Neodiprion lecontei: one gene and its partners. The main gene of each other region encodes a partner of the protein of the gene in region 2 in a complex. Links are inferred from orthologs where the notes say so. Each region holds a gene or a part of one and is shown on either strand. Other genes may lie near its edges.

Region 1 (4,098 bases), on a different chromosome or scaffold from region 2:
TCAGTTGTTGTGGAGTTTATTACCAGGAGAAGTGTATTTTTAACGTAAAATGTACTGGAAATATAAGATAAATCAAACGTGCAATAGATATATTTCAAAGAATTGTGACGCGTTAGGAATTTCGAGAAATGATTATACATGAATGTTCCTTACTTTTAAAAAACAGTTCCAGGTATTTATGAGATGCAGAAAGGTTTTTAACACTTTTTTTTTACAAATCGTTACATAATAAATGTTTCGAAATACTTTGTCCCCATGTCTCGATCAAGTATTTCTTTGAGTATCGTTATCTACTAATTTATATCAACTGATTCATTACATAGCATTATGAAACCGTTCAAGAACGTGGGGCTGTTCGGCTCAAAATTGTTTTGAACTGTCCCGTTTTTCTACACTCAGCTACAGGTTTCCATGTTACGTTTAGCGCTGTGAATCTATGTCATCATTCAGATGAAATCTACCTTGATTAATGATCAATAATTCATCTTATTGTTATGACATCCCTAATAATAGTATTTCTAGGAGATATTTTTTCACAACTTCGTACTGAAATTCATTTTTATTCACTTCTTTGGAGAATACGTAGTTCCATTTTAATCCTTCATTTCTTAATAATGATTACTGGACTATTTCCAAGTCAGTCAAATATACAAATGATAAGTACAGTAAATCGCAGAGCCATGCGCCCGTATTCAGAGTATTTTAATTTTAATCGCTGTCCAGCACAGTAATAAATAATATTTAAAATATTAATTATATTATGTATAAAACGATATGCAGTAATAATCATTGTAGAAACTCACACGCGTCTAGACAAATTCACTAATAATTGTTCCTTATATCTAAGCTCACTATAAACCAGTTTTTCAACAGCGTTGAAGTATAAAAATTATTTCATTCAACCAAGGTAGCAAGATGCAATTCAAGCCAGCATGTTTATTTTTACTTTCGTAATTTTACGTGACGAAAACTAAAAATTCAAGAATTAGAGGTACTGAAAACTCTTTTTAATTGCTGTTAAACAGTGTTTCTGACGCTGTTTTCAATAAATAAAACAGTTTTTATTTTATTGTTGGGATGAATTTTTGCTGATCCAGAATCAGTAAAGATTATTCGATGTGGTCATTTCGTCGATAATATTGCACATCATTCGGTCCCTTGGACAACACGGATCTGTAGCTTGTTGCTCTAGTCCCAAAGTATCCATAACTTCCATCGTATCTGTACTGACAGCAAGGCTTGAATCTAGCTCCGAGGTGTCAGGCAGCATCTGCAATGCATGCTGCAATATTTCCTGCACCTAGAGAGAAAGAATTGAAAGAAATTTTAGTCAGTGATATTAGAAGAAACCAAATGTGATGAAAGATAAACCAATGACACGTATAGCATACTTTGTCTAAATGTTTTTGAAATCGCAGAGTGGTTTCTGTCCGCTGTCTACGCTGGAGCTCCATCATAACACGAAGAGTTTCTCTAGCCTGATGCGGCCTAAACTCATTAAGCAAGTGGTGAATATGGATGAACAAAAGGCTCAAGTCCTCGACCTGAAAATACGTCAGGAAAAACCATGAGATTCTTTATTACCGTCAATAACTCCTGGTGTTAAATGTCTCAAGTATGAAGAAAATCAAGGACACACCTTCTCCGCTCTCCTCGGACTGTCGGGACACTGTACCAGCAGATCTATAAGGTCTAAAAAATTGACCAGAAGAGAGTGATTGAGTTTCTTGAGCTCACGACGCCGGTCAAAATGCTGGGGATAAAGCCTCTTGATCCCCTGCGCTTCCAGCGGCCTTATGATGGTGTCGTCGGCGTTGAACATGTTCCCGAACATGGAATAGTTCTCATGATTAGCCGGGGGAGGACGGGGAGCTCTTCCTCTACGCACGTTCTCATCGGTGTACAAGTTGATGTACTGAGTAGGCGGCATGGGCAGCGAGCTGACCTGCGTCGCTTCCGGAGTCGCCATGGTTTAATAAAATAATATCAACGGCGTAGTCGTAAGATTTTATTCCTGTAAAAGAAAAGAGAAGGAACTGAAACGAGTCAGAGGAATTTAAACGTCAGATGAAAAAAAGATGGGTCATGTTAGGCTAGGTTATAACCACGATATCAGCCTCGGTTTAACACCATCAATCGGAGGGTGAAGATAGGCGAGGTGGATCTACTCACGCCATGAAATACGAGTAAAGCAGTGGAAGGCTCGTCGACGAGGCAGTCACTGTGTTTTCAGCGTCTAACAACGCGAGTCGTCACAGCAGAGGAAAAAACAAAAGCAGCGCGGCGGTTAGTGTTCGCCATTTTGTTTTGTTTACATGCCTGCGTAGCGCCGAACATGGAAGATGCCTGGGAATGTTAAATGTTTACGCTTTTTCAAAGTTCATCCAGTTACCTACACAGCGACGTTATTCGACCGTCGGAAAAGCGTCGCTTGCCTCTCGGTGTCGCGGTTGAAACAACTCGGGATTAAATCGCGCTGCCCGAATGTCGAAGTGTAAAATATTCAGACAAGTGGATAAGTGACCAATACAAAACAGTTGAACATCGATGTGTCTCATGACTAACGCCGTAGCGCATTTCCTGTTATCTCGTGAATTTCCGACCGTCTTGCCTAGCCGTCGCTTCGCCCGCGACCGTTTGACAGGTTACCTCCCCCCTCTCCGTACCGCCCGCCGCTAAGCCTCTCTCTGTGTTCCTTTGCATCCACGTGAATTTTTTTTTTCGCATTATACCCCTAACCGAATCCGGCGGGCAGCCACGTTCTCGAGACCGATGCATCGTCTGGCTGTGTGACAAACCGGTGCTGTGAATGGTAAGAGTACTGTGTTGACTACCGATAGTCTTTATTTTATTGTTACACGGTTTCCCGGCTATTTCGACGTCGGCCGAGGCGATTCCGAGGAACTCGGCACCCAAAACGTCAGTATTTTATAACCGCAAATTCCGTGCGCCTTTCCCTATCGCCTATTTTCGAACTGAGCTTCGGTTTCGTTATCAGTACCGTACCCGGTTTAGCTACGCGATGTTCTCGACGCTTTTATACTTTTACTCTATTCCTATTATCGTTCGTAAACCGACTGCATTGTAAAATAATCGCCTCGATTGTTGTACCTGAGCAATTGATGGAATGCAGTGTTTGTAAACAACGAAAAATGAGCCATGCATCGACCATCTCGAAACGGTTTCCTGTTCACAATTTACACACATATTCGATATCAGTTTTACTCCTCTCTTTTATCTGATGGCGTGCCAACAGTTGGTCTCTGTTCATCTTTTCCCTACTTCCCTGTCATCAGCTGTTCAAATTTGTTGAATCCACCATCCGTCAAACACACATTCTTCTTTCAATCAGCTCTCATCCGCCATTCTATTCTCTTCTATTCAACTTCTCGCTATCTTCTTTGTCTTCATATTTTCTCTTCTTCTTTCTTACGCTGTGAACCGAACTACCGAAACTTGTACTCTGCGAATCGGATTTTCTCTTTGTTTCTCCCTTTCTCGACAAGAAGCTCCAACTTTTCTTACTTTCAGATCAACAGATATGTCTAGTAATATTTGAAACACACTGTAGCTATCGCTGGACTGTGATAAATGTCGCAATACTATTTAAATTTTCTTTATAACGCCCAGAATAAGCTTGAAAGAAAAAGAAGTAATATAACGATTACAAAATATCGTCCACTTTCTCAAAAATACATTTCATTAATTTGATGTTTTGCATTTTACAGGGTTTTCTTTTCAGGGATGACGGGGAAGGATGGGAAGGCGGAGGCTAAAGGCGTGGATGGTGTTGTTAAGACAGGATTTATGACAAAGCGCTCTCAAAACAAGAAACGATTTACGCCGATCAACTACAAGCAGCGATGGTTCGTCCTCACCAGGCAATACCTTATATACTATGACAGCGACAGCGAGGTAAGCGAGACGAATCACTTGTTGACACATTTCTTTGATAGATTTCGAGTCGACAGGTCACGCCTGAAATTTCATTACACGACGCGTATTTACATGGCAATTGCTCAGCTGTTGAACAAAATATTATTATTTCTGATCTTCATTCTGTGATCGAATTTGACCAGGTTTCCATTCGCAGGTGCT
Region 2 (5,025 bases):
ACAATTGCGTAACAAATGACAGCTACATTTAATGTTCAACCAACTATGTAGCATAAATGGGTGAATACTCTTTGTTATTTGTTGTGAAAAAATGATACGTACATGACTACGGACATTGAAATTGTCAGACCAAAAGAGTGTAGTGTGAAAAAGTGCAAAGCTCATGATTAGCTGTTGACTAGAGCCTGATTCGGCGGTGACTCCAGTGCAGCGAGGATCAGCTGATAGGTAAGCTGCACGTGCAGTTTTTGACTCAATGCCATGCTCGTTACCGAAGTGGTTTAACGCTGGCACAGTAATGGTCCATTTCTTTTTTCTCTACTGAATGACATGATGGCATTAAAGAAACGATAATGTCATTTGCCAGAATTTTACCATTTCTATTGAAACATAGATGAAATGATAGACTTATGTAACCGTCAACACTTTTCATTCGATTATGCTGTCTATTGAAAATACTGGGGATGTTAAATGTTCTGGCAATTTACTCGTTAACTTCAATTTGTGAATTAGAACAGGTCTGGTACTTGTTGCAATGTAGGATTGCCCCGACCTTTCCCCGCGCCAATACCAACAATAAGTTGGGGCTAAAGCCCTCAAATCAGTGATTAAGGAGAAATAATTATATTGGCAATGGTAATGACTAAAGCAATTGAATGACGGGAAACAGTTTGAAACCCCTAAGTTTCACGTTTCTGTAAAATAGCTGCCATTACACGAATGAGGACCATATACTGTTGACTCTGCAATTTCATGAAGTATTGAGACACTCTGCAGTGTTCTGGAAGATATTGCTCTCAAGAGAACTCAGAAAAGAATACATAAAGTGCATGATACTTACCTATCTTTCTTTCTCACGTAGACTAGAGGCATGTAAGGACCGCTAACCTTTATAGGATCAGGGTATGGCAGCGTTGTACAAAAATTTGACTTAACTTACGTTCCTGAGCTGTCTGTCGATATTTTATACACATTTGGATAGCAAAAATAGAAAACCATACTTGAACGTACAAGATCATATAAATTTTCAGTAAAATGCTGACGCTTAAATAGCGTCTCCTATATATCTTATCGAAGTCTATATGAAATTTTCAGCACTGTTATAATTCCATCGAAATGATTCTGTAAGCGGAGAAATTGTGCATTATGTGTGAACTTTTTGGGTGTTCATAGCTGAATACATTATACAAATTTTTTTTACTGTTGTGGCTATATCATAATTTATGTTGATATAGTTATAAATTCATCAATCGATGGTCATATAGTGTACATACATTTACTCCAAGATATATACAGCTCTCAGATAACTAGCCAGTTAATTACTTGGCAATCCAACATACCGTTTGTGTATTTCATTTTTCGTTTATGGATTGGTTTTTTTATTAGCAATTGTCGTGAATTTTTAAATGATCGAAGACCTTTTTATTTTGAATTTAATAAACATTTAACATGTATTACCAAAATTTTATCGCACTTTTTGCGCGTGGACTTGATGCTTGATTGTTCTTAGTTGAAGACGAGCGTTACAGTTTTGCGCCTCGTATACGTTCTCAAACCCACGCACTCCGCGACCAATTGTCCCGATTTGCGTTCCGAAATCTGCGGTATGCGTGCGCAACTTTCCCGCCAACTTAACGCGTGCGCGTGGCTCTCGAAGCATCAGACCTTGCATCAGACTTCGCATGGCGTCATGAAACCGCTGCGAGTTTGTTGATCTTCGGAGTTACTTTGAGGATCGTATTGTTTATCAAAGTTGGAATAAGTGAGTGCCTAGTCATCAAGAGACGAAAAATATTCGAACATCAAGAATTCGTGTAATATGAATCGCTTGGACGATCTCCCAGGCCTAACTAAGGGAAGGAAAACATCTTACATCGGGATGAACGGTAGGTAGATTGAAAAATATGTAAATAAAAATGACAGACGATACGATTTTGACGTTTATTGAAGATAAAAATATCCCGCGACAAGTGATCGTATTAGCAAGGTATTCATCGGTTCGTGATTAAGCGTAAATTCTCACATAGCTATAGATCAAAAAAATTATTACGAATAACATAAACATAGTACCTTTATCGTCTAACCTCATTCGAGTGTTTTTATTTATCTCAGGTGGGCCAGAAACCGATGACCAACAGCGACTTCGCTTTCAGGTTGAGTTGGAATTTGTCCAATGTCTCGCTAATCCAAACTATCTAAATTGTAAGTTTTTAACTTCGTATCTCCATTGTACTTTTCAGCTGTTGACCTTAGGTCATTGACATTACTCCCCAGTTGTAAATATGTATGTTGATGATGGAAAAATTAATGATATACTAAGAATGTGTTAGAAGGAGTTATCGTTAGGTAAATATTTTATTTTAGATCCTCGTTTTATGTTAAACTTGAAGTCATCGTCGATTCAACGGAACTCCTAGTTACATAAATTCAATCGATACTGACGTCATTCTGGAAATACTTTGAATTATTAAATCAATATTCGTTTCATGTTCTTCAACTATTTGCATCAATACGCACCACATATTTCCAAAATTCAAAGTTCATCTTCCTCGTAACTCAAATTGATCCAAGTCGCAAAAGATTCACAATTTAGAACACAGCCAGATCCTTTAGTAAAGGAAAGTTGCCTAACGTGGGCAGGGTTCTTTATTTAGAATGACTTGTTACCTGGGCAATTAAGTAGGTCATGCTATTGTTGATTAGTGCAACTACGCGACACTCAGTGCTGAATATCAGTGCTATGTCAATGATTGTTAGTAAGCAGAACTTCAATGATAATTTAACGTTTTGTCCTGAAATATCTGTCCCACTTTTGATTAGTGTATACCTGTAATTCATATAATGGGCGGGGTTTGTTTTTCATCATCAAAAGTCCGCACTTAAACACCATCGTTCGTTTTGAAAATCATTTATTAATTTTGACAGAAGATACAAATTGTACTGGTAAAATAGAAATCGCCTAGATATTACCAGTCAGATGTTAATTTCGAAAATAAAATGGTTGGGTAGTGGAAAAGTCTCGTTACACCGAAATGTAAGCGAATTTTTTGATCTGAGGAAACGTGTATCGCAAGTGTAGGATATAATAACTACGTAAAACATTCTATGGCAATTTGACGATTTAATTTAAAATTTATCAATTCTTTTTATAAGCGCATTATACAGAAGAAGAGAGTTGTTTGTGAATTTTCCCAGAAGTTTTAGCAAGTTGAAGAGGTGAAATCGATCTGTAATTTCTTGTGATAGAGAAATGAGAACAAGACTATCTACTGAAGTTCTGCCTAGTACTGGCCGACTCTTCAATGGAACTGCTATACCAGTGCCGAAGTTCTCACCTTTCTTCAGGATCCCATATTCAATTGGGCAACTTCCTACACATCATAAAATTGCTATAGAACGTTTTATTTATTTGTAGTAGTTATTTATCACAGGTCTGCTCCTATCATTCCATCTTCAAAAATGGGTAGCGTAGCTTTTCACTGGATTCTGTCTGTCAGCGCTGTATCATAATTCACGTTATGAATTATTTAGTTCTGAAATTCAATCTCTCTGCAAGATTCAATTAATCTGGCACAAAGATTCCAAGTGATTGAGGAGGAAAATCATCTGATAAACTGAAACAATCAAATTATTTTATTCATATCCGTCGGTTGTATAGTTTTCTGAAATTGATGTGGTGTTTTTTTGTAACACCAAAATTTCTACTCCTATTAGAATACTCTTCTCTAGTATTTAAGAAACTAGATTCAAAACGAACAATTCGTGAAAGATGCAGTTTTTGAGAAATTAGCCTTATCACAGAAAATATCTGGAAACTAGAGACTGAGTAGCTGTTGGAATGTGTTGGATGCGAAATTGGACAGTAACGGAACACTGAAAAATATTCATAAAGGATTAGCGGAGACAACAGACTTGAAGACATCTACTTTCAAGATGTATAAACCCTTCGCTGTATACTTTGATTATAATTCATTACTGTTTTGGCACAGTTCTGGGCCAGCGAGGATATTTCAAAGATTCCACCTTCATCAATTACCTGAAGTATCTACTTTACTGGAAGGAGCCAGAATATGCTAAATACTTGAAGTACCCGATGTGCCTCTATTTTCTGGACTTACTGCAGTATGAGCATTTCCGACGTGAAGTCGTAAACGCTCAGTGCACAAAATTCATCGATGATCAGCAAATATTGCTATGGCAGCATTACACCAGACGCAGAACAAGGTTACTGCAAACAGCAGCAGAGCAAACACAGCCCAATAATGCGCAAAACAACGGTATGGTGCAGCCAAAAGTACCGTAGAGACTGTAAAAAAACTTGTTAATAATCTTAGGTGTTAAAACACATTGTTAATAATATTTAACAACTTCAACTGTACATTTTGTTCCTTTCTTTTCATCCGTATTATTCGTAATGTAATGAATACTTGTTTAAATTTAAATAAAGACTTCTTTTATACTTGTCTCGAGGATTATATCTTCATTCATAATCAGAATTCTACCAATGAACTAGCTAATCAGGCTAGCTTTTGATCAACAGAGAATTTAAGTACTTCCATTGCTCAAGGCTTACATTAAAGAATGCTTAGAAAAAAAAGGTTGCCACACAAATATCAAATTTTATGAGGCTCTTTAGTTCGTCATTTCATAAAACCTTGAATGATTGGCGGTAGCTGAATAGTTTTCCTATGCATTTGTTAAAAAGTGTAATTTCACAAATTTTTCACATCCTTCTAGCTTGACACACGTCCGCTTTATTTCGAACAGTTTTTCAGATGTATATATACACAACAACGTTTTTTCAAAACATGAAACCCTGCTGAATTGTGGAACAGAGTAATAAATTTTGCAAAGTACTTTTGGATTATAAAAAGTACATTTACGCTGAAAATTGTCCACACAAATACTCCACTTCTGCATTAATCTTACACGGTGTAAATATGATGCACTTCGAAAAAAGATACCTATACTACTCGATTACGTGACGATAATTTACCTACAATTATTAAATAGCGCTAAATACTT
Region 3 (3,607 bases), on a different chromosome or scaffold from region 2:
ATTCTTAAAATCACAGCACCATCCTTTTCACATTATACCTATTTTATTATGAACTCCGAACAGATGATCATCTGCTACATCTGTAGAATACTCATACCTGTAACAATGGATCTATTATAAAAGCGAACTTTGTAATATTCACCATGGAAATGGTAAATTGGCAAAAAAAGATCTGGAATTGATACTGAACTTATAGCATGCATCTTCCTGCAACATAACGAGGTATAATAGTAAAAGACGCACAATTTTAATTAGTCGGAATAAAATTTATTGAGACCACATTTACAGAAGTGTTTGGCTCAGATTAGGCACTGGCCAGGCTTTCTCTGAACTTCTTCCACGCGTCTAGGGGTCCGTGCTCTGGAAGATATTTGACATTGCAACCATCTTGGGCAAGACGACCAGCTACCTTCAGATCTTCGTATTCGGCACGTTCGTACTTGGTAAATCCCCACTTCTTAGAAACGTAGATCTTTTGACGACCAGGGAACTTGAACTTGGCACGCCGTAGAGCCTCGATAACTACCGCCTTGTGACGGTCCGATGAGCGCACACTCATGATCGGCTGCCCGATTCGGACACGAGCAACAGTACCTTGAGGCTTACCAAAGGCTCCTCTCATCCCAGTTTGGAGCCTAGATAGTTGAACAAATTTGTAGCATTAATTTTCCATCTAAGTAGATAATATTCCGTTGTTGGATAAATGAGTTACTATTGTTCACGTAATTTACCTATCAGCTCCAGCGCATGACAACATTTTGTTGATGCGAATGACGTGGAAAGGGTGGAGTCGCATCCTAATGTGGAACTGATCTTTGCCAGCATTTTTGACCATGTATTTGTTGCAGCAAATACGACCTGCTTCTAGAGCTTCTGAGCTAAGCTGTTCATATTCGTCAGAAACCAAATGAACGCAGAGTGGAAAGTCTTCGACACATGCCTTCTTCTTTCCCAAGTCAAAGATACGAATCTTTGGGTCAGGGACACCCCGACAGAAACGAGACTTAGGATATGGTTTGTTCTTGCAGTAGCGATAACTGTAATTAAACAAAAATTCTCATCAGTATTTGATTTATAACATATTTACACAGCACTTAGATTCCCAAACCTTTATCTCAAAGCGTATTGCAACAATGACATCTGATTGTATAAATTATAAATTAAATGATACATATTGCGAAACAGGTTAGACACCAGTGTTAACGAGGTTACGTTACCATCATGTCGAACTTTCAGTTCCACAAAATTCTCTACAGTTGACTAATGGTCTGGAACTGCAATTCTAATTAGCAAAATTTTCGCGACAATTACAGAGAACTTCAAAATAAGTGAGTAAATGAAGCGGCAGTAATGGGTTAAATACAGAACAGTGCACTTCGAAGCTTGGCATACACCTGCGTTGACACAAAAAAGGGAATTTTGTTAGAGCCTCGGATTAATTCGTAGCTCGAGTCAATTAAAGCAATCGTTGGTCAGGAATAAAGGTACCACAATTATTTCTCTTTTCGATTATTTCTTTTTTTCCTAAATTAGAAAATGCGAGTCATGACGACTTACCACCTCGCTGGCCGGCGTCCCATTTTGGACTGAAAATATAAACACCACAATTATTTATCGAAAAAACTATCACTCTTAACAATTGGTAAATTAACCTAATTTCGTTCAGTAAGACTAATTAATTGCCGTTGTGTAGGATTCCTCGGATTATCAGAGATATAAAACAGCATTCGCGATACATACCTACTACCCTTGATAGCCCAAATGAAAGTGACGGAAATCAATTTTCTGGTCAAATGTCCAGGAGCTACTTCCGGCATTCGCGGTGCAACACCATAGACTATACTAACGATTACGTCCATTCTATGTCTAACTTTACAAGCTAGATGTTAAGCTCCTTGCCATCGCTCCATCTACAAAACTTGATTTTTCCGGCTTCTGTTTCTGACAGTACCGTAAAATTTTGTCAAACCTTCGTGGTGTGCTAAATGCTTTGAACGACCAGTTCGCGTGATAAAGAACGTGTGTAGATAAATTCATTTAAACTGTCTACGAAAGAAGAAAAAATTAGTGTCGAAAAAGCAGAAGATGCCGAAAAAAATTGCGGTGAAAATATGATGGAAGTTGTTGAGATAGCAGAGGAAGCGCCTGCTCGAAGTCAGTTCACAGTCGACGATCTAGACATAGAAATTCTACCGCTTGTTTACGAAATAATCCGAAGGTATGTGGGTTTAATTTATTTTCTTGTTAACACTAGCAATACCCTTTGAAATTGACATGCCAAAAATAGTACTCCATTTTTTCAAGTTATTATAGATAGAAAGTTGCGAAAGCACTCCCCATTGTCTGCCACGTTTGTCAAATTATTTATAGCTCATATGATTGCGTATCAAAATTATTAACACAAGGTACATGATTGCTCAATTTCTCAAATTGATATTCTAATTTTATTCACTTGCTCTGCGAACATTAGATCGTGACGTTGGAGTTTTACAGGATTACGTATGAACAAGAATTTACCTTATTAAATGTACAGCTAATTTGTCTCATCAAACTAGTTATGTAATGCAACAAAATTTTGATTTGTTCCACATAGCGTGGAAAAAGATCCTCATGACAACACCCAAAAAGCTAAGGACTCTCAGGATACGAGTCACAAAATACTAGATTTACAAAAAAAATTGGACTCTGCACGATCACAGGTGTGTATACTCGACGATAATCATGCTTAGCATGACTAAATATTCGTTCTCTGTAATTTAATAAACTGAAACCCATTGCTTTTAGATAAAAAAATTGCCTGGGATAGAATATAGCAAAGAGGAGCAATTACAGAAGCTAGAAACACTTCGCAGGCAGCTCAAGTTGAAGCGAGAACTACTACTCAAGTATCGTAATATGTGTACATTCGACGTACCCAAAGTATAAATAATTAGACTTTCATACTATAATTCATTATGGTTCTGCGTTTTCTTATGCGATACTTGGCCAACAACGAACAGCTCATCAACAAATTAGCAGATTCAAAACCTATAAGACGAGCTGCTCAGCTGGTTGTTTATTTTATGCAACGTTCTTCCCAGCACGGTATACCATCCAGTCCACAGGAGCTTGGCAAGCAATGGGCAAGTTTATTATCGCGTTTCTCATCTAATCTCAAAGAAGGAATTGCAGACGCTAAGAAGGATCAGGAAAAGAAACAATCTAAATAACATATATTCTAACGTAACCAAATTACTCTCCTGCGATTAGTTATCCATCTCAAAGACTTCGATGAATCAGTTTTTTTTTTTTCTGAATTGTGAATTAGATTTAATAGCTTAATATTTCCCATTGGTTTACCATGGCGTACAAAGGATCAGCCGTTATATTGGTGCCTACAGATTCCAAACAATATTGCGTTAAAGTTGATGGCCATGTTTCGTTTGTCAATCGTTATATGAAAGTTACACCCTACGATATTGGAAGACGGATTATAGCTTCCCTCGGACCTCCTTGTAACAAGAAATTTAGAATTGAAAATATAGATCTAGTAGGACCCCTCCTAGCAGTCTTAATTTTAATTGCAATTCTAAATTACGGATATAGGATTAAAGAGCCGTCGGCTACA
Region 4 (4,645 bases), on a different chromosome or scaffold from region 2:
CCACACTCACTGATATGCTCGGATTGTTAAGGCCAACTTCGCACACTCGACCCATCCACGCCTAGGCCTTGCAAATCACTGACAGCTAGTTCGACTCAACAAATCTCACAATTCTATGTATACATGATTGGGATTCCGAGATGAGCTCGGAAGATTGTTCACCTCGTGGCCCCTTGGCACGGTTCGTATCGTTCGATTTTGGTCACCGCGCTCCGCGCGGACCAGCGTCTAACTGTTTTGGTTCACCTACCCCGCGCCAGGTGGTGACACCTCTCTGAGCTTGCGCGGGGATTCCCGGGGTGAGTTTTGTAATCTGTCAAGGTCCAAGGTCCGTAGATAGACGAGCGGACAAGGAACGGTCTTTGCCTGGTCACCATTTGTATTCCAATTTGTCTATAGTGTGTAGGTTTTATACTGCAGTTTGACAACGCAGTCGTTGTTTCTGTTCCTACGGAAAATTCGTCATGCAAAGAACTTAATTCCCTTGTCCGCCCGTCTATTTGCGGACCTTGTCACTGCTCGCTCTGCAGCCGCGAAGCGTTTCACGAATTTCGCGGTTTGGACATGTTCTCTGTGACATTTGCTTGGAGCATATACACTGCTCTAAGATTACTCGAGTGCTCGGAGAAATAACAAAATTTAGATTCGCAATTGAAGCAAAACCGCGTGTCGAAATACCCTGTACCTTCTAATATCCAACGATATTACATTATTTTGACTGGACCGACTGGACGAACAGGGTACAGAAAATCGGGGATTCAATCGATTATTATTTATTTCGTATTTTATTCCATTTCAAACCATAAAGAACGTTGACTTTACATCTTCGGTCAACGCGGTGAATGAAAATTAAACCGGCAATATTTATCGGCACAATTACCTTCGCTGTATAAGCCTACCGAATTACAGATAGCAACGTACAGCTTGTGAATTTAGGCACGCATTAAATTGCATAGATATGTATACAAAATAAAATATCTGCGGTCAATTCATACTATTTAAGGGTACGGGCAGCAATGCAAATGGTCGGTGGTCGAACTGCCGTGATTTTTGTGAGAGGATGAGGTGAAGCTGAATTTTCAATAAGACAAGGTACGTTAAAATACCGGTCGGTAACCGACTTGCATAAACTGTCCAGACACCTCGAAAATTAGATTGAAAAAACTGCAAATGTAGGCTTCTTCAGGCTCTTTCTGACCTTGCTTTCCAAAAACCGCAGAACGACTATAGCTATGATTTCATGACTGAAAAATGGCAGGCATTGGCTATAGACTTCAGCGTGCCGCTAAGGAAAACTACGCAGTATTCTGCTGTAACGCCACGATCCTACATTGAGATCCCATAAGACGAGTCGGTAAGTGCAAGGTAGTGGAATTTCCCTCAAACCCGTCTGAATCCGGCAATCCATTTCGAAAAATAACACAAGAACCCAAAGCAGTCCTCATATCAACTCATATGAACTGTATTTTCAGTCAACGTCAAGGGAAACTAAAACGGAAACTGTACGTAGCGACATCTAGCCGATGGATTGCATAGCTGCGTTGAAGCATCAGAGGAATATCCATCTAAGCCGTCGAGTTTCGAACTGGCGGAGCTTCATTGTCACTGTCAGGAATAGTCTAGATTGTAAACACAGAGTTGCCTACTCATCTCTGGTAAACAAGTGTCTCGTTTCTATCAGTGTGTGACTTGAGTGCTTTTTTTTAGTTTGATTATTTATTGACAGAAAAGAAACAATGGGTGTGACAGTGTGAGTATCACGTAAATAGCCTCACAAACAGGTTTGCCGTCACACTTGTCACGGCATGCTTCGCATCAAATAATCCTCAACCTCGCGTTTGTTGAACGTTTTTAGGTTATGCGGCTTTTACGATTACCGGCTATTGCCGTTGAAATGTACCACACCTTGATATTCTGCTACTTCAATCTGTCGCGCAATCGTATTGCGGTTATATTTATCGTCTTAATCTCAAAATCGAGGTCCTAGCAGAGCTTCTAACTTCGAATTATTCTTTGTTCAAGATTGATTGAGCAATGTTTCTAACTTCGTGAAACCTAATATTTCAGGCTACAGCAATTTCCCATGTCGGAGAACCGGACCGGCCCCCAGACGATCGAATTCCTCACAAAGCGAGTCGTCGCCCTCGGAGCTGTTCAGACAGGGCAGTTTCTGGTCGATTGCGAAACTTACCAATCGGTGCCTCAGTTAGGTGAGTGGCTGTTCGATTTTGTTTTAAATTTTCCTGAAGTTCAGTGACTCGTTGGAAAACATACATGAGCAACACATTGATATTGTTGATGGAGAAAACTTGAAAAGGATTGTTAAAAAAGAAGGGGATCCTTTTCCGTTAGAATTCAGTGTAGTTCGTGTGATTTCGTAGAGATGGCGCCACTACGAGCTCTTGCTGATGAATTTTCAGCTGTGGGAAACGTGGGGATTTCTTCAAATCTATTGATCCGAATTTGCCAGGGAATTTAAATTGCTGGTTGTGTTCTATTGAACCTGCAATTGAGATAGGTTTACCGTACTAAGTAGAGGCTGACGTTCGCTTTTAGTTCATCTTCTTTATTCTATTTAAATAACTTTCTGCTATTTGGCTGCAACATAGTATACACATCTCTATACAAACATACAATTTCTTTCGCATTAGTTTGACACTCTAGATTAGGCATATGTATATGCGCTTTCATCACTTTCTACAGAGGTACAGACATAAAATGGGCAATTATTCTTCCTCTTAACCTGCATCTGTCAAAGTTTAATTAAGTACTGCGATATATTGAGCTTTTTAGCTTGGAGCAACAAACTGATATTTATTTCGGCAGGACTATTCATTTTTTAATTATTCAATTTGTGCTACGCATTATCCATCATCTTCACGTCGATCTACCGTACATAGAATTTATATGATCTACGTTACATGCCTGACAAGTAAATGGCAACCTTTACTTGACTTCCGTAGTGTAGTTTTTGATATTTTACAACAGTCAGGTACCATGAAATCTTCCCGGCAGCATTACACTGGGAATTTTTCTAGTGTCAGCGTAAATCCGTTCGGTTGTTTTCGATTGAATTTCGCGACACGTGATACATACAAGATACGATACAGTATTCAGACAAATACTTCCTTCTATTAATTACTGGTACATCTAACGAGCAAATTTCTTCTCTTTTCCCTTTCTCTTTCGCATCACGCGCACAACTTATTCAATTTCTTAAGCTTAACAACAGTTGGTTTTATTATTGTCTAGTTAGCGAATAGGCGTATATTATTAGAAACATGGCTACATCCTAGGCGTTTTTACAAAAATATTAAATCTAGCAAGCGAAGCTAGAGAAGTATTTTATTTATCTGATTTTTCTTAAGTCGTTGCACATTTTTGAAAATACATTTTGATATTTCTTTTTTGATAGATAGAATTTATGATTTTAATAATGTTTTATTCATTTTTTTACTCACATGGCCAGCATTGATCATATATATATGTGTGTGTGTGTGTGTGTGTGTGTGTGTACGTATAATACGATATATTTTTGAATATATAGTTTTTATTGTCGCGTAATATTTTATATTTAATTGTATATACGTTATCTCAATATAGAAGGATTGTTAGAAATTCGTAAAATACTACAAGCATCTCTGACGTATAATATTCATGTTTTTTTGTTTACGATAAAAAAGTGGCACGCTTCAATCGTTATCTGACGGTTGATTTAGTTAAAGTTTTAAAGTACAATTACACACGCGCTATCGCACAGAATATATAATTTAAATATACCCTTGTATATGATATTTGTACAATTTTCAATATTGTCAACTGGGTATAATAGATGATAATAATAAGAATAATAGATCTTCAATTCACAGAAGTGCATACTGCAGATTTTTTTTTCCCTCCCGTCAACTTATTAGTTATACAACTACGGACATTTTTTTTTCATTCGATTATTATTGGAAATATAACGTCTTGCTGGAACATGTTGGTTCAGTGTTGTTTTTTCAAAGCGTTCTCCAATTTAACAGTATTTTATAAAAATTATACATAGAACCTCGGGAACGGTAAGGTTTTCGAAAAATTATACATTGTTTGATATGAGTGTAAATAACTCAAATTTACGATAGCAATTGTTTGAAGAATTTTAAATTTTGATAATTCACTTCGTACGGTTTCATATTTTTTTTTTATTCCACTTTCTTCGTGAGAATTATTGAGCGAGATTTTAATAGTTTTACAATTATCATTCTTCGAGTATGAACAATATTTTCGTGTTTGAAAGAAAAATTTGTTGAAATTATTTGTATTATTGATTGCAGAGATCTACACCGTATAGATATTGCCCTATCGCTACACATCTTAAGTACATTTTTCTTGCTCTTTTTCTATAGCTTCGTACATACGGATTCGAAAACGCTACTTAATTTTATCAATCAAGTATTCAGATATGGCAGGGATATGATTCACGGATTCAGAAAAAAATATATTATACATACTGCAATAACGAGACGCGATAATTTCACGTATCAGAATCATCGTGGCTCTTGTTGCAGTACCGCTATACGTTATTAATTATACAAGTAATAAGCTAGTTAGCCCGTGATTACTTTTACTATCAACTATATAAAAATACAAAATTTCAAATGCA

The links.
Region 1: mediator of RNA polymerase II transcription subunit 31 (region 2) and mediator of RNA polymerase II transcription subunit 7 share a complex: the UniProt entries of both Drosophila melanogaster proteins name them as parts of the mediator complex. The link is inferred for Neodiprion lecontei from reciprocal best matches to the Drosophila melanogaster genes MED31 and MED7.
Region 3: mediator of RNA polymerase II transcription subunit 31 (region 2) and mediator of RNA polymerase II transcription subunit 9 share a complex: the UniProt entries of both Drosophila melanogaster proteins name them as parts of the mediator complex. The link is inferred for Neodiprion lecontei from reciprocal best matches to the Drosophila melanogaster genes MED31 and MED9.
Region 4: mediator of RNA polymerase II transcription subunit 31 (region 2) and mediator of RNA polymerase II transcription subunit 20 share a complex: the UniProt entries of both Drosophila melanogaster proteins name them as parts of the mediator complex. The link is inferred for Neodiprion lecontei from reciprocal best matches to the Drosophila melanogaster genes MED31 and MED20.

The regions. Positions count from the first base shown.
Region 1 is NC_060265.1:6,396,605-6,400,702, forward strand, and holds mediator of RNA polymerase II transcription subunit 7, read right to left. Parts: upstream 2,530-4,098; 5' UTR 2,131-2,529; intron 2,015-2,130; 5' UTR 1,970-2,014; coding exon 1,640-1,969; intron 1,545-1,639; coding exon 1,392-1,544; intron 1,301-1,391; coding exon 1,100-1,300; 3' UTR 541-1,099; downstream 1-540. Other genes in the region: tyrosine-protein kinase Btk29A, read left to right, coding at 3,745-3,915. UniProt on the Drosophila melanogaster protein: Component of the Mediator complex, a coactivator involved in the regulated transcription of nearly all RNA polymerase II-dependent genes.
Region 2 is NC_060262.1:33,293,895-33,298,919, reverse strand, and holds mediator of RNA polymerase II transcription subunit 31, read left to right. Parts: upstream 1-1,656; 5' UTR 1,657-1,819; coding exon 1,820-1,886; intron 1,887-2,112; coding exon 2,113-2,202; intron 2,203-3,989; coding exon 3,990-4,303; 3' UTR 4,304-4,463; downstream 4,464-5,025. UniProt on the Drosophila melanogaster protein: Component of the Mediator complex, a coactivator involved in the regulated transcription of nearly all RNA polymerase II-dependent genes.
Region 3 is NC_060264.1:6,104,911-6,108,517, reverse strand, and holds mediator of RNA polymerase II transcription subunit 9, read left to right. Parts: upstream 1-1,917; 5' UTR 1,918-2,111; coding exon 2,112-2,218; intron 2,219-2,593; coding exon 2,594-2,699; intron 2,700-2,784; coding exon 2,785-2,925; 3' UTR 2,926-3,072; downstream 3,073-3,607. Other genes in the region: 60S ribosomal protein L10, read right to left, coding at 305-635, 732-1,037, 1,558-1,580; protein YIPF3-like, read left to right, coding at 3,341-3,607. UniProt on the Drosophila melanogaster protein: Component of the Mediator complex, a coactivator involved in the regulated transcription of nearly all RNA polymerase II-dependent genes.
Region 4 is NC_060260.1:35,737,309-35,741,953, reverse strand, and holds the start of mediator of RNA polymerase II transcription subunit 20, read left to right. Parts: upstream 1-1,584; 5' UTR 1,585-1,736; coding exon 1,737-1,750; intron 1,751-2,067; coding exon 2,068-2,210; intron 2,211-4,645. UniProt on the Drosophila melanogaster protein: Component of the Mediator complex, a coactivator involved in the regulated transcription of nearly all RNA polymerase II-dependent genes.